Linked DNA regions of Ovis aries. The main gene of each other region encodes a partner of the protein of the gene in region 3 in a complex. Links are inferred from orthologs where the notes say so. Each region holds a gene or a part of one and is shown on either strand. Other genes may lie near its edges.

Region 1 (3,654 bases), on a different chromosome or scaffold from region 3:
GTGTGTCCTTATCAAGAAAAGTCTTTTTGGACTTTTCAAGACACTCTAGGACTGGTGGGCGCTTATCCTTCTTACTTTTGGGAGACTTCTCTTCAACTCTCATACTATAGGATTCAGTGGTAGATAAAGCAGTTTTTAAAGAGAGATCCTTTGCTATTTCTGCAGTCTCAAGAGAGGTTTCCATTTCTGAAGGACCAGTTTCCTCTATGTGCTCTTTCTGACTCTGGGTCTCTAAGACTGATACTGAATTATCTGTATCTTTCCCTAAAGGGACCACTTCTTTCTCAAGATCACCTATTTTTACACTTGCAATGACAGAATTAACAGACTCTGCTCCATTTCCCTCCATGATGACACTTCTATCCTTAGAGGGGCTGCAACTATCTTCCTTTGTATCATAAAACTTTGTCTCCATCTGTTCTGTTTTAAAATGTGGAGTTACCTTTTCATCACTAACTTCTCCATTTACCAGCTGTTTCCCTTCATGACCCAAAGCAGTGATTGTAGAGATCCTTTTACAAGTCTCTTCCTCTTGCTTTATTTCATCTTTCAGAAACTCTTTTGTTGGAGTAACTGATTTACACAAAGGTCCTTTGATTGGACTATCAAAATCATCACTCAGTTTAATTTCTCGTTTTTTTAGTGGAATCTTGGCCTGCTGGTCATTTTTAAGTTTCTCGGTTTCTTCAGTAGACTTTTCAGTAATTTCTTGAGAAGATTTAACATTGCCAACAAAGTCTAGCCTCTCAGGCTCTAATTTCTCCACACTACCTTTGATATCTCTAGGATCTGCTTTACATTCTTTCATTTCCACTTTTACAGGTTTGACATTTTCCTTGAAGGAATCACTTTCTTCTTTGATAATCTTTTTTTCTTCGCTTTCTGGCACAGATTTTTCCAGCTTCACTATGACTGGCAGTTTTCCAAGTTCCTTTTCACTTTCTTTTTCTATTTTCACAGTAGTCCCTTCTAGAGGACTGGGTGTAGAACATTTTTCTGAATCTATTGGCCGCTCTTCACTTTTAGTTTTTGCACTTCCTTTCTGTTCCTCTAAAAATAAGAAAAAGTTTACATGAATCTAAGCATTCAAGATTATGAAATGTATAAGGCATAACATAAAAAATATTTCCATTTGAAGTTTCTCTCTTAGAAGAGGTGGCTATTGTCACGGGACATTTGACAATAAAAGATGAAAGCAGACAGTAAAGAAAATACAAAGCTCGGAAGTACAATGTTTAGACATTAAAAAACTGTCATTTAGAAAGATTTCTGCTTTATACTTTTAACTTCAATGCTCTCAATGAAATGCAAATATTTATACAGCTCAAATAATTTATTCAAGCTCAAGTGATGGCTCAAAACTACGAAACTAAGAATACATCATAATAAAACATTTCCAAAAGACCATATTTGTTTTAAAAACTGACAACTGTTCTCTGCAAGTTATGGAGCACTTCATTTCATTGAGAAAACATGAAAAAGGCAGTGTGGAAATGTTTTATGTTTTAATCAGGTTACAAAAGTAACAATTCTGTGCAGAAAAAGGAAAATATGCCCACAATCTGAATACCTACAATTAGTATTTTATTTGAGGTTACTTCTTCTAGTTTTATGTGTTTTTGACAAAGTTGGAATCATGCTGCCCCATTGTCCTCACTGAAACATTAGCATTTTCTTATGACATTCATGAAATGTCTTCAGAGAATTGGTCTTAACTGTGTAACACTCCTTACTGTGATTATATTACAATTTACTTTATCAAATGCCATCAATAAACATTTTAGAATGTAATATATTACAAAGAAACTATGTTTACCTGTTAACTCCTCTTTTTACCTTACTGGCTAATATTTACAACTTTTACAGAGTACCTAACAGTGCAAATTTAAGTATAACGAAAGTCATATTTAGTATATACCATAATCTTTGAATGAGATTACAGACAAGGCATATATGTTTTAAAATTGTGCTAAGGGAATCTGAGCCATGTTTTCAGAATTCATTAAGTACTAATTTTACCTATAAGAATAGCAAGGACAGATAAGAAAGCCTTCCTCAGTGATCAATGCAAAGAATTAGAGGAAAACAACAGAATGGGAAAGACTAGAGAGCTCTTCAAGAAAATTAGAGATACCAAGAGAACATTTCATGCAAAGATGGGCTTGATAAATGACAAAAATGGTCCTTCTTATGGACCTAAATGATTCTGTTATGGACCTAACAGAAGCAGAAGATATTAAGAAGTGGCAAGAATACACACAAGAACTGTACAAAAAAGAGCTTCAAAACCCAGATTATCACGATGGTGTGATCACTCACCTAGAGCCAGACATCCTGGAATGTGAAGTCAAGTGGGCCTTAGAAAGCATCACTACGAACAAAGTTAGTGGAGGTGATGGAATTCCAGTTGAGCTATTTCAAATCCTGAAAGATGATGCTGTGAAAGTGCTGCATTCAATATGCCAGCAAATTTGGAATACTCAGCAGTGGCCACAGGACTGGAAAAGGCCACTTTTCATTCCAATCCCAAAGAAAGGCAATGCCAAAGAATGCTCAAACTTCTGCACAATTGCACTCATCTCACACACTAGTAAGGTAATGCTCAAAATTCTCCAAGCCAGGCTTCAGCAATATGTGAACTGTGAAATTCCAGATGTTCAAGCTGGTTTTAGAAAAGGCAGAGGAACCAGAGATCAAATTGCCAACATCAGATGGATCATCAAAAAAGCAAGAGAGTTCCAGAACATCTATTTCTGCTTTACTGACTATGCCAAAGCTTTTGACTATGTGAATAGCAAGCAACTGTGGAAAATTCTGAAAGAGATGGGAATACCAAACCACTTGACCTGCCTCTTGAGAAACCTATATGCAGGTCAGGAAGCAACAGTTAGAACTGGACATGGAACAACAGACTGGTTCCAAATAGGAAAAGGAGTATGTCAAGGCTGTATATTGTCAACCTGCTTATTTAATTTCTATGCAGAGCACATCATGAGAAACACTGGGCTGGAAGAAGCACAAGCTGGAATCAAGATTGCCGGGAGAAATATCAATAACCTCAGATATGCAGATGACACCACCCTTATGGCAGAAAGTGAAGAGGAACTAAAAACCTTCTTGATGAAAGTGAAAGAGGAGAGTGAAAAAGTTGGCTTAAAGCTCAACATTCAGAAAACGAAGATCATGGCATCTGGTCCCATCACTTCATGGCAATAGATGGGGAAACAGTGGAAACAGTGTCAGACTTACTGCAGACGGTGATTGCAGCCATGAAATTAAAAGATGCTTACTCCTTGGAAGGAAAGTTATGACCAATCTAGATAGTATATTCAAAACCAGAGATATTACGTTGCCAACAGAGGTCCATCTAGTCAAGGCTATGGTCTTTCGAGTAGTCATGTATGGATGTAAGAGTTGGACTGTGAAGAAAGCTGAGTGCCGAAGAATTGATGCTTTTGAACTGTGGTGTTGGAGAAGACTCTTGAGAGTCCCTTGGACTGTAAGGAGATCCAACCAGTCCATTCTGAAGGAGATCAGCCCTGGGATTTCTTTGGAAGGAATGATGCTAAAGCTGAAACTCCAGTACTTTGGCCACCTCATGCGAAGAGTTGACTCATTGGAAAAGACTCTGATGCTGGGAGGGATTGGGGGCAG
Region 2 (3,654 bases), on a different chromosome or scaffold from region 3:
GTTTCATCATTCAAGAACCCAATCAAGAAAATTCAACTTCTAAAAATAAATGAAGAGATCTTCATTTTTTAAAACTAATAATATATAAGTGCCTTAGAGGTTCTAAAAATAGTTGAATATATTCATCGGAAACCAGTGTCAAGAGCATCCATCCCTTTGAGGAACAAAACCTAACAAACAAGATAGAAGTACAAAAGGAGAGTAAAACAATGTTAAATCAACCCTTTCAAGCACCTCTAAGACTATTCTAGAGCAGAAAAGATGAATACTTATGACTTTATAGTGTTTTCCTTAAATGATGGAAGCAGATGGTAGCATAGAAAATAGCCTGAGATCGATACCATTAGATTAAGGAGTAATCAACACAGAATCAGATATGAAAAATGGATATTAGAATAAGACATCGTTAAAAAAAAGATAAAACAATGGTTCTCAAAGTATGGCTCATGGACCCCAGAGTTTCCTGAGACCTTCCCCAAAGCCCTAAAGGTCAGAACTATTTTCACAGTAATACCAAGAGAGTATTTATTTGCTCTTTTCACTGCCCTGACATTTGTAGTGATTGCTTAAGCAACAAAGGTAGGCAAACCTACTGATACCTCATGGAGCCTGAGGCAGAAACTTGGGTTTGTAGTCATTTCACTCCTCACCACCTCATAACCAACCACACACTAGTCCTTGATGTTGACTCTCAACCTAACCTCTGAGCACATCTTCAAAACATCCGTACAACAAAATGGGAGGTTCACATACAGTACTCTGGCTCCAGGAGGAAGTTCACGGATTTTCTTGATGAAAAGCATTTGTGCAACTGAGCAGTGAAAATGCCTGGGAAATACCATGGACAGAGGAGCCTGGTGGGCTGCTAGAGTTCACGGGGTTGCAAAGTTAGCTACGTTTTTCTCTGGAACATTATTTTTAAAAGGATAATTGAAAAATGATGCTTATTCAAACTTCGTATTTGAAAGACATATTCTGAAAAATGAATGTGAGTCTGTCACCTCAAAAAAAAACCCAAAACACCCCAAACCGACAGCACTTGTTTCCAATGATAAATTTCAAAGTTTCAAGTGAAAATTAAATTTTGGAAAGTTCACCTCCACTATCATGGGCCTGACAGCCTCCCAGTACTTGAAGATTCTTTCCCCCCTGATAATAGTTATGTTAATGAATGTCGTTTTTTGACAGTGAAATGTGCTAACATTTGGAAGATATGCGTAATTCAGGGAATCACTATTTTCCAAATGGAGGGTACCTATCAGAAAACCACACACAGGTAAAAGATCCAAGTTTATCAGCATGATTTTAGATACTACATTACAGCTAACCTTTAAGACTCTGCCCCCCCAACTATGGAGGTTTACTGCTGTATCAAAGGAGACTATCCAAAATTACTGGAAAGGCTTTTTAAAATATCCCCCCTTTTTCTAACTACATAGCTGTGTGAAGTTGGATTATTTTTTCTTATACTTCAAGCAAAACAATACATTATTGCAACAGAAGGAAATGCAGAAGCAAATGAGAATAGATCTGTCCTAAGTCAAGACACAAACAGATCTGCAAAAACAGAATGTCATTCTTCTCATTAAAATTTTGGAAACTACAGCTCTTTTTCAGACAAAATATTACTTTTGTTAACATGCAGTGGGCCTGTTGCTATTTTAGAATTTTTCAGTTTTAATTTAGAATACAGTGTATATCAAAATGGGCTTCCCTGGTGGCTCAGTCTCTAAGAATCTGTCTGCAACTAAGGAGACCTGAGTTCAGTCCCTGGGGTAGGAAGATCCCCTGGAGAAGGAAATGGCAACCCATTCCAGCATTCTTGCCTGGGAAATCCCATGGACAGAGGAGCCTGGTGGGCTATCATCTATGGGGTCACAAAGAGTCAGACACGATTTAGGGACTAAGTCACCATTACCCAATATCAAAATAACTCACATAAAACAAAAGCTCTAGAGGTCCTCACTAACTTTAAGAGAGTGATAGGGTCTTGAAGCTAAATACATTTGAAAACCACTGAGGGAAAACTGAATTAAACACATTCCTCATAATTCAGGCAGCTTAGTAACTGCTTCTGGGGAAACAGTGTTCAAACTCATCTTTTAGATAAACCAGTGAGAATTCCATCCCCATCACCTCTTCAATTTGTAGCTACATGACAAAAATATCCTTAGGGATCACTGTCCAGCTAATAGCAACAGGACCAAGAGCAGGCAAAAATAAAAGTCCCAGAGTTATTTCCCAGTTTTCTAATCTTAACGCCCTTCTCTCCTCACTAATGGACTCTGAGCTCTTAGGCCTTCTAGATCTCTTCTCAATTCTTTCCCATTACTATGAGAATATATGAAAATAACTGCTACAAGACTTAAGCTGAAAAGGCAAGTTCAGATAAATAACACTTCAATTCAGTGATGTCCTTTGCTACTGTTAAACAATTTGGGCAAATCTAATCCAGATTTGAAGCTGAAACTAATACTTTGGCCACCTGATGCGAAGAGCTGACTCACTGGAAAAGACTCTGATGGTGGGAAAGGCTGAAGGCGGGAGAAGGGGACAACAGAGGATGAGATGGTTGGGTGGCATCACCGACTAATGGACATGAGTTTGGGTAAACTCCGGGAGTTGGTGATGGACAGGGAGGCCTGGCGGGCTGCAGTTCATGGGGTCGCAAAGAGTCGGACTGAGTTACTGAACTGAATCCAGATTTTAGAATAATGGCAAAAACCATAAGACCATTTCACTCCCCTGTCCAGCTCCTGGGCTCTCTTGATGTTTCTGGAAACCCAACCTAAGAAACTTCAAAAAGCCAGCTTTTTTCACCCCCTTTTCATCACCTTATTCCAGTATCTAGTAAATCTCTGGCTCGAGCACACTACCTTGTCTTTCTGGATCTGATTACAGGCTGTACACCCTCCCTCACCAGCCCAACAGTTCCTCCTCAGCCCTATTTCTGTTCAAGTGTCTTCTAGATACGTAACTGTGGATTCTTTGTATTTCTGTCCCATTTGACATTTAGGTAACAATTATCTATCTTTCTTAATCTTACATCCTTTATGCTTGATAAGGGAGAACACATCTGTATGCCTTCTCTGTTTTCTCTATCAAAATTGTTGCGTGTATGTCAACCAAAGGCAAATTCTTTGAATGTAGAAGATATTACTGAATATTGATAGCAATGTTGCTAACTATTAAAATGTTCATTAAAAAAAAAAGAGAGAAAGGAGAAGCTAAAAAGAATTGATTTGTTACTGAAATAGTAAGAATTGATCCTCACTTTGCCAGAAGGCTTTGGATGCATTAAAAAATTCAAGATCCTTTTCACCAGTTCACTATTTACACCCGATCTCTCCAAGTCAAGAACCTCGCAGATGCTCTTTAACATGGCATTTCTAAATCTGAAACAGAAAACGGAAAAAGCCAATGTGATTACATAGGAAAATTTATAAACATTCTCCACAATATAAAGATAAGAGCTAACCCAACTGGCTCAGCCACAAACATTAAGCAAGCAGCCAGTGTTTCTGTGAATCTTAGAAGCACTCCCAATAATCCTGACTGGGGCATGCACAAAATATAGCCAGGTACTACTGTAAACAGAAAACATCATTTACCATTTAAGTTTTAATTGTGGTGTAAGAAAAAACTTACTTCATT
Region 3 (3,654 bases):
CATGTATTTGCTTCAAAGGAGAGTGAGATTACTGATGAGGATATTGATGGTATTTTGGAAAGAGGTGCAAAGAAGGTGAGATGCAGATTAAATGATTATTTCTAGTATATAAAATACTTTAAACCAGAACTGAGGAAATAGCTAAGTTACACTTTTACTTCCAAAGAAGTTATGTACCATAAAGTCCAGTTCATTTTGACTATAGTTCTTGTGCCTTTATAGAATTCTCAAATCTAAAAAGATGTTTCTTTTGTTTCCTTAGACTGCAGAGATGAATGAAAAGCTCTCCAAGATGGGTGAAAGCTCACTTAGAAATTTTACAATGGATACAGAGTCGAGCGTTTATAACTTTGAAGGAGAAGATTACAGAGAAAAACAGAAGGTAATTTAGAAAAGAGATTTTGGTTATTTTAAGACTTACTATTTTACTTGAAAATTGGAATTTAAGTCTTAGGTGTGATGCCTTATCTCAAACAGCAGTCATTTCTGTTTACTCACGTCTGAATTATTTTCATTTTTGTGTTAAATTTAATGCCAAATTTTCAGTTGGTAAATGCTGAAATGTTTTAAAAATTTATGTATACTGTTAACAGTAAAGTATATTGTGTGGGGTGATTATAGTAATTAGGGATATTTGGAAATTAAAACTATTGCCAAAAGTAAAATTTGTCACAACATTATTAGATTTTTTTTTTCCCCTAAGCAGAATTGGCTATTAATAATTAAAGGGATGAACTTGCTAATTTCTAGATTGCTATTTCCTTCCTAATTAGTATTATATAGTGAAATTAGAAAATACCTGCAGGGCAGAAGGAAAATAATTCTACCTAATGATTTCCATTTTAACATTTAGACATTTATATCCTCTGAATTTTTTCTAGTCTAAATATTTATCTACATTTCTCTCCTAATTTTAGTTCTAGCATACCATCTGTAGCATTTCTTTTTTCACCCAATTATCATTAATTTGGTCAGGAAATAGTTACTGAATGTTTTATGCTATTCACTAGACATCCTCTTGTGTGTTAATTGCATTAGTCCCTAGCCTCATATAGTCTAGGGTGTTATGAATATCTGCATTTATAAATAAGTCATATTGATGTAACAGTAGGAGTCGCATTCATGTAAGATTTGTGGCTCTATAATAAAAGTTGGTGATTTGAACTGTTTCCCATGGGCTAGATTGCATTCACAGAGTGGATTGAGCCTCCTAAACGAGAAAGAAAAGCCAACTATGCTGTCGATGCCTATTTCAGGGAAGCTCTTCGCGTCAGTGAACCAAAAGCACCCAAGGTGAGTTGATAGAGCACAAATATCTAAAAATACTGGAAATGCAAATTATTTTTCTTCTTATATTCTTGCAGTAAAATCAGATTGAGAATTAAATTTTGTGTGGTTTCTTCCAGTATACCTCCTTCAGCTTTTGTTGAAAGTTTCTAAAAGTTAATTTTAAATGTAAGCATTTAAAATTTGCTTGATGTTTGTTAAATTTTATGGAAGATGCATTCAGTTGCTTGGAGAATTGACTGTCATGGTTTTATCGAGTGCAAAAAGATTTCAGATAGATTTAAAGCAAAATAGGTTTGTTTTTGTTTGTTTTTACAAACAGTGCTTTTTTTTTTAGGCTCCTCGACCTCCAAAACAACCCAATGTTCAGGATTTCCAGTTCTTTCCTCCACGTCTATTTGAATTATTGGAAAAAGAAATTCTGTATTACAGAAAAACAATTGGTTATAAGGTAACAGAAGTAAAACTTTGTAACTAATCTCATTTGTTTTAACTTACTAAATGCATGATATCATATATTTTCTTGGATTAAAACTTGTAAAATTTCATGTGGTTGGTTAAGAGTTTAGTTCATCACATATTTCCTGAAATATATTGACTGATGACATAGAAAAAATATGTATATTTTTAGGTCCCTCGAAATCCTGACCTACCAAATGCAGCACAGGCACAGAAGGAAGAACAGCTTAAAATTGATGAAGCTGAACCCCTTAATGATGAAGAGTTAGAGGAAAAAGAGAAGCTTCTGACGCAGGTACAGCTTTCAATCAAAACCAGGTTTAGTAATGGTTATTTTGTAAGGTACCCCGTTAGGTTCTGTGGGGATAAACAAAAGAAGTAAAGGTTTTGCTTTCAGAAGTGGAATGATTGGAGATGATGAAGCATGGGCATATGGGTGTACGCTGTGTTGTGATTGTCATTAGTTGTGGAGGTAGAAGAGAAGAGGATAGATTTGCACCAAGTCTATTGTTGTAGAGTCAGTATCTTTGATCACCTTTCTTCCAGTGCTCCCACCTTCCCTTTCCTGTGGATCTTCTCATTTTTACTATGTCGTCATTCTCAATTACAAGTATCTGCTTGGTACTTTTTTAAAACATCCTTTAGGATTCAGTCAAGGCCTTTGAGAATCTAGCTTTAACCTACCTTTAAAGCTTTATTATTACTTTGTTTTGCCGCTTGGTTTAGATGTTTGCTCTTTACGTTCATTCTGCCTCTCTATGTCCATTCCTCCTGACAATTTCTCCTTGAAAGCGCAGTGAAAATGTCACTTTGTTGTGCAGCGTTTTTCACTCTCCCACTCAGACTTAGTTGCTTGGCTGTCTGAGTAATGTATATGATGTATTGCCAGAGTGCACATCTATGTATATGAATAGTTACCACTTTAAGATAACTTAGAACTCAGAGCAACTGAAATTTTTCTATAATACTTAGCAAGATTGGTAAAGTTTTAATAGCTTTTCCCCCAAGCTCAGTGATTGTATGCTTTGTTTCCTTTGCTTTGAAGGGATTTACCAATTGGAATAAGAGAGATTTTAACCAGTTTATCAAAGCTAATGAGAAGTGGGGTCGTGATGATATTGAAAATATAGCAAGAGAAGTAGAGGGAAAAACTCCAGAAGAAGTCATTGAATACTCAGGTACTTCTATTATGTTAGTAGGTGTAAGAATGTTCTCAGGCTTCTGGAGGGCTGTTGGAAAGTTGAGATTTTCTTACTCTGAATGATGTATTTGTTTTCTTAATTAAAAAAAAATTTTTGGCCATACATGTGGCACGTGGGCTTCCCTGGTGGCTCAGATGGTAAAGAATCTGCCTGCAGTGCGGAAGACCTAGGTTCGATCCCTGGGTTGGGAAGATCTCCTGGAGGAGGGCATGGCAGCTCACTCTAGTATTCTTGCCTGGAGAATCACCATGGGCAGAGGAGCCTGCGGGCTACAGTCCACGGGTCACACAGAGGCAGACACAACGGAGAGACTAAGCACAGCACACACGTGGCATATGGAGTCTTAGCTCCCTGGCCAGGGATTGAACCCACACCTCCTGGGCCGGAAGCATAGAGTCTTACCCTCTCACCAGGAAAGTCCGTGAACGATGTTTTGATAAACTAAAATTTGCCACAACTTAGTATCTGTTTTGTTTTTTAAAAATTCAGTTGGAAAAGCTCCCCTTCTTTAAAATGGCATCATTAATTTTTCTTTTTTTACCCTTGTTAACTAACTGTAACCAAGAAAACAAGAATAGGTCACTGAATAATTGTGCTTTCTTTTTACTTCATTTCACTTGATAACTTTTACAAATACTATATAATTCTGTGTTTCTTGAAGTCTGTTGGGTTGACAAGTGGATATGTGTAGTTGTGCTCTGGTGAT

What was found.
Region 1: SMARCA5 (region 3) and RSF1 share a complex: the UniProt entries of both Homo sapiens proteins name them as parts of the RSF-5 ISWI chromatin-remodeling complex. The link is inferred for Ovis aries from reciprocal best matches to the Homo sapiens genes SMARCA5 and RSF1.
Region 2: SMARCA5 (region 3) and DEK share a complex: the UniProt entries of both Homo sapiens proteins name them as parts of the B-WICH complex. The link is inferred for Ovis aries from reciprocal best matches to the Homo sapiens genes SMARCA5 and DEK.

The regions. Positions count from the first base shown.
Region 1 is NC_056074.1:15,888,919-15,892,572, reverse strand, and holds part of RSF1 (remodeling and spacing factor 1), read right to left. Parts: intron 1,051-3,654; coding exon 1-1,050. UniProt on the Homo sapiens protein: Regulatory subunit of the ATP-dependent RSF-1 and RSF-5 ISWI chromatin-remodeling complexes, which form ordered nucleosome arrays on chromatin and facilitate access to DNA during DNA-templated processes such as DNA replication, transcription, and repair.
Region 2 is NC_056073.1:38,630,382-38,634,035, reverse strand, and holds part of DEK (protein DEK), read right to left. Parts: intron 3,396-3,654; coding exon 3,275-3,395; intron 1-3,274. UniProt on the Homo sapiens protein: Involved in chromatin organization.
Region 3 is NC_056070.1:14,432,497-14,436,150, reverse strand, and holds part of SMARCA5 (SWI/SNF-related matrix-associated actin-dependent regulator of chromatin subfamily A member 5), read left to right. Parts: coding exon 1-75; intron 76-262; coding exon 263-382; intron 383-1,182; coding exon 1,183-1,293; intron 1,294-1,624; coding exon 1,625-1,738; intron 1,739-1,918; coding exon 1,919-2,041; intron 2,042-2,791; coding exon 2,792-2,924; intron 2,925-3,654. UniProt on the Homo sapiens protein: ATPase that possesses intrinsic ATP-dependent nucleosome-remodeling activity.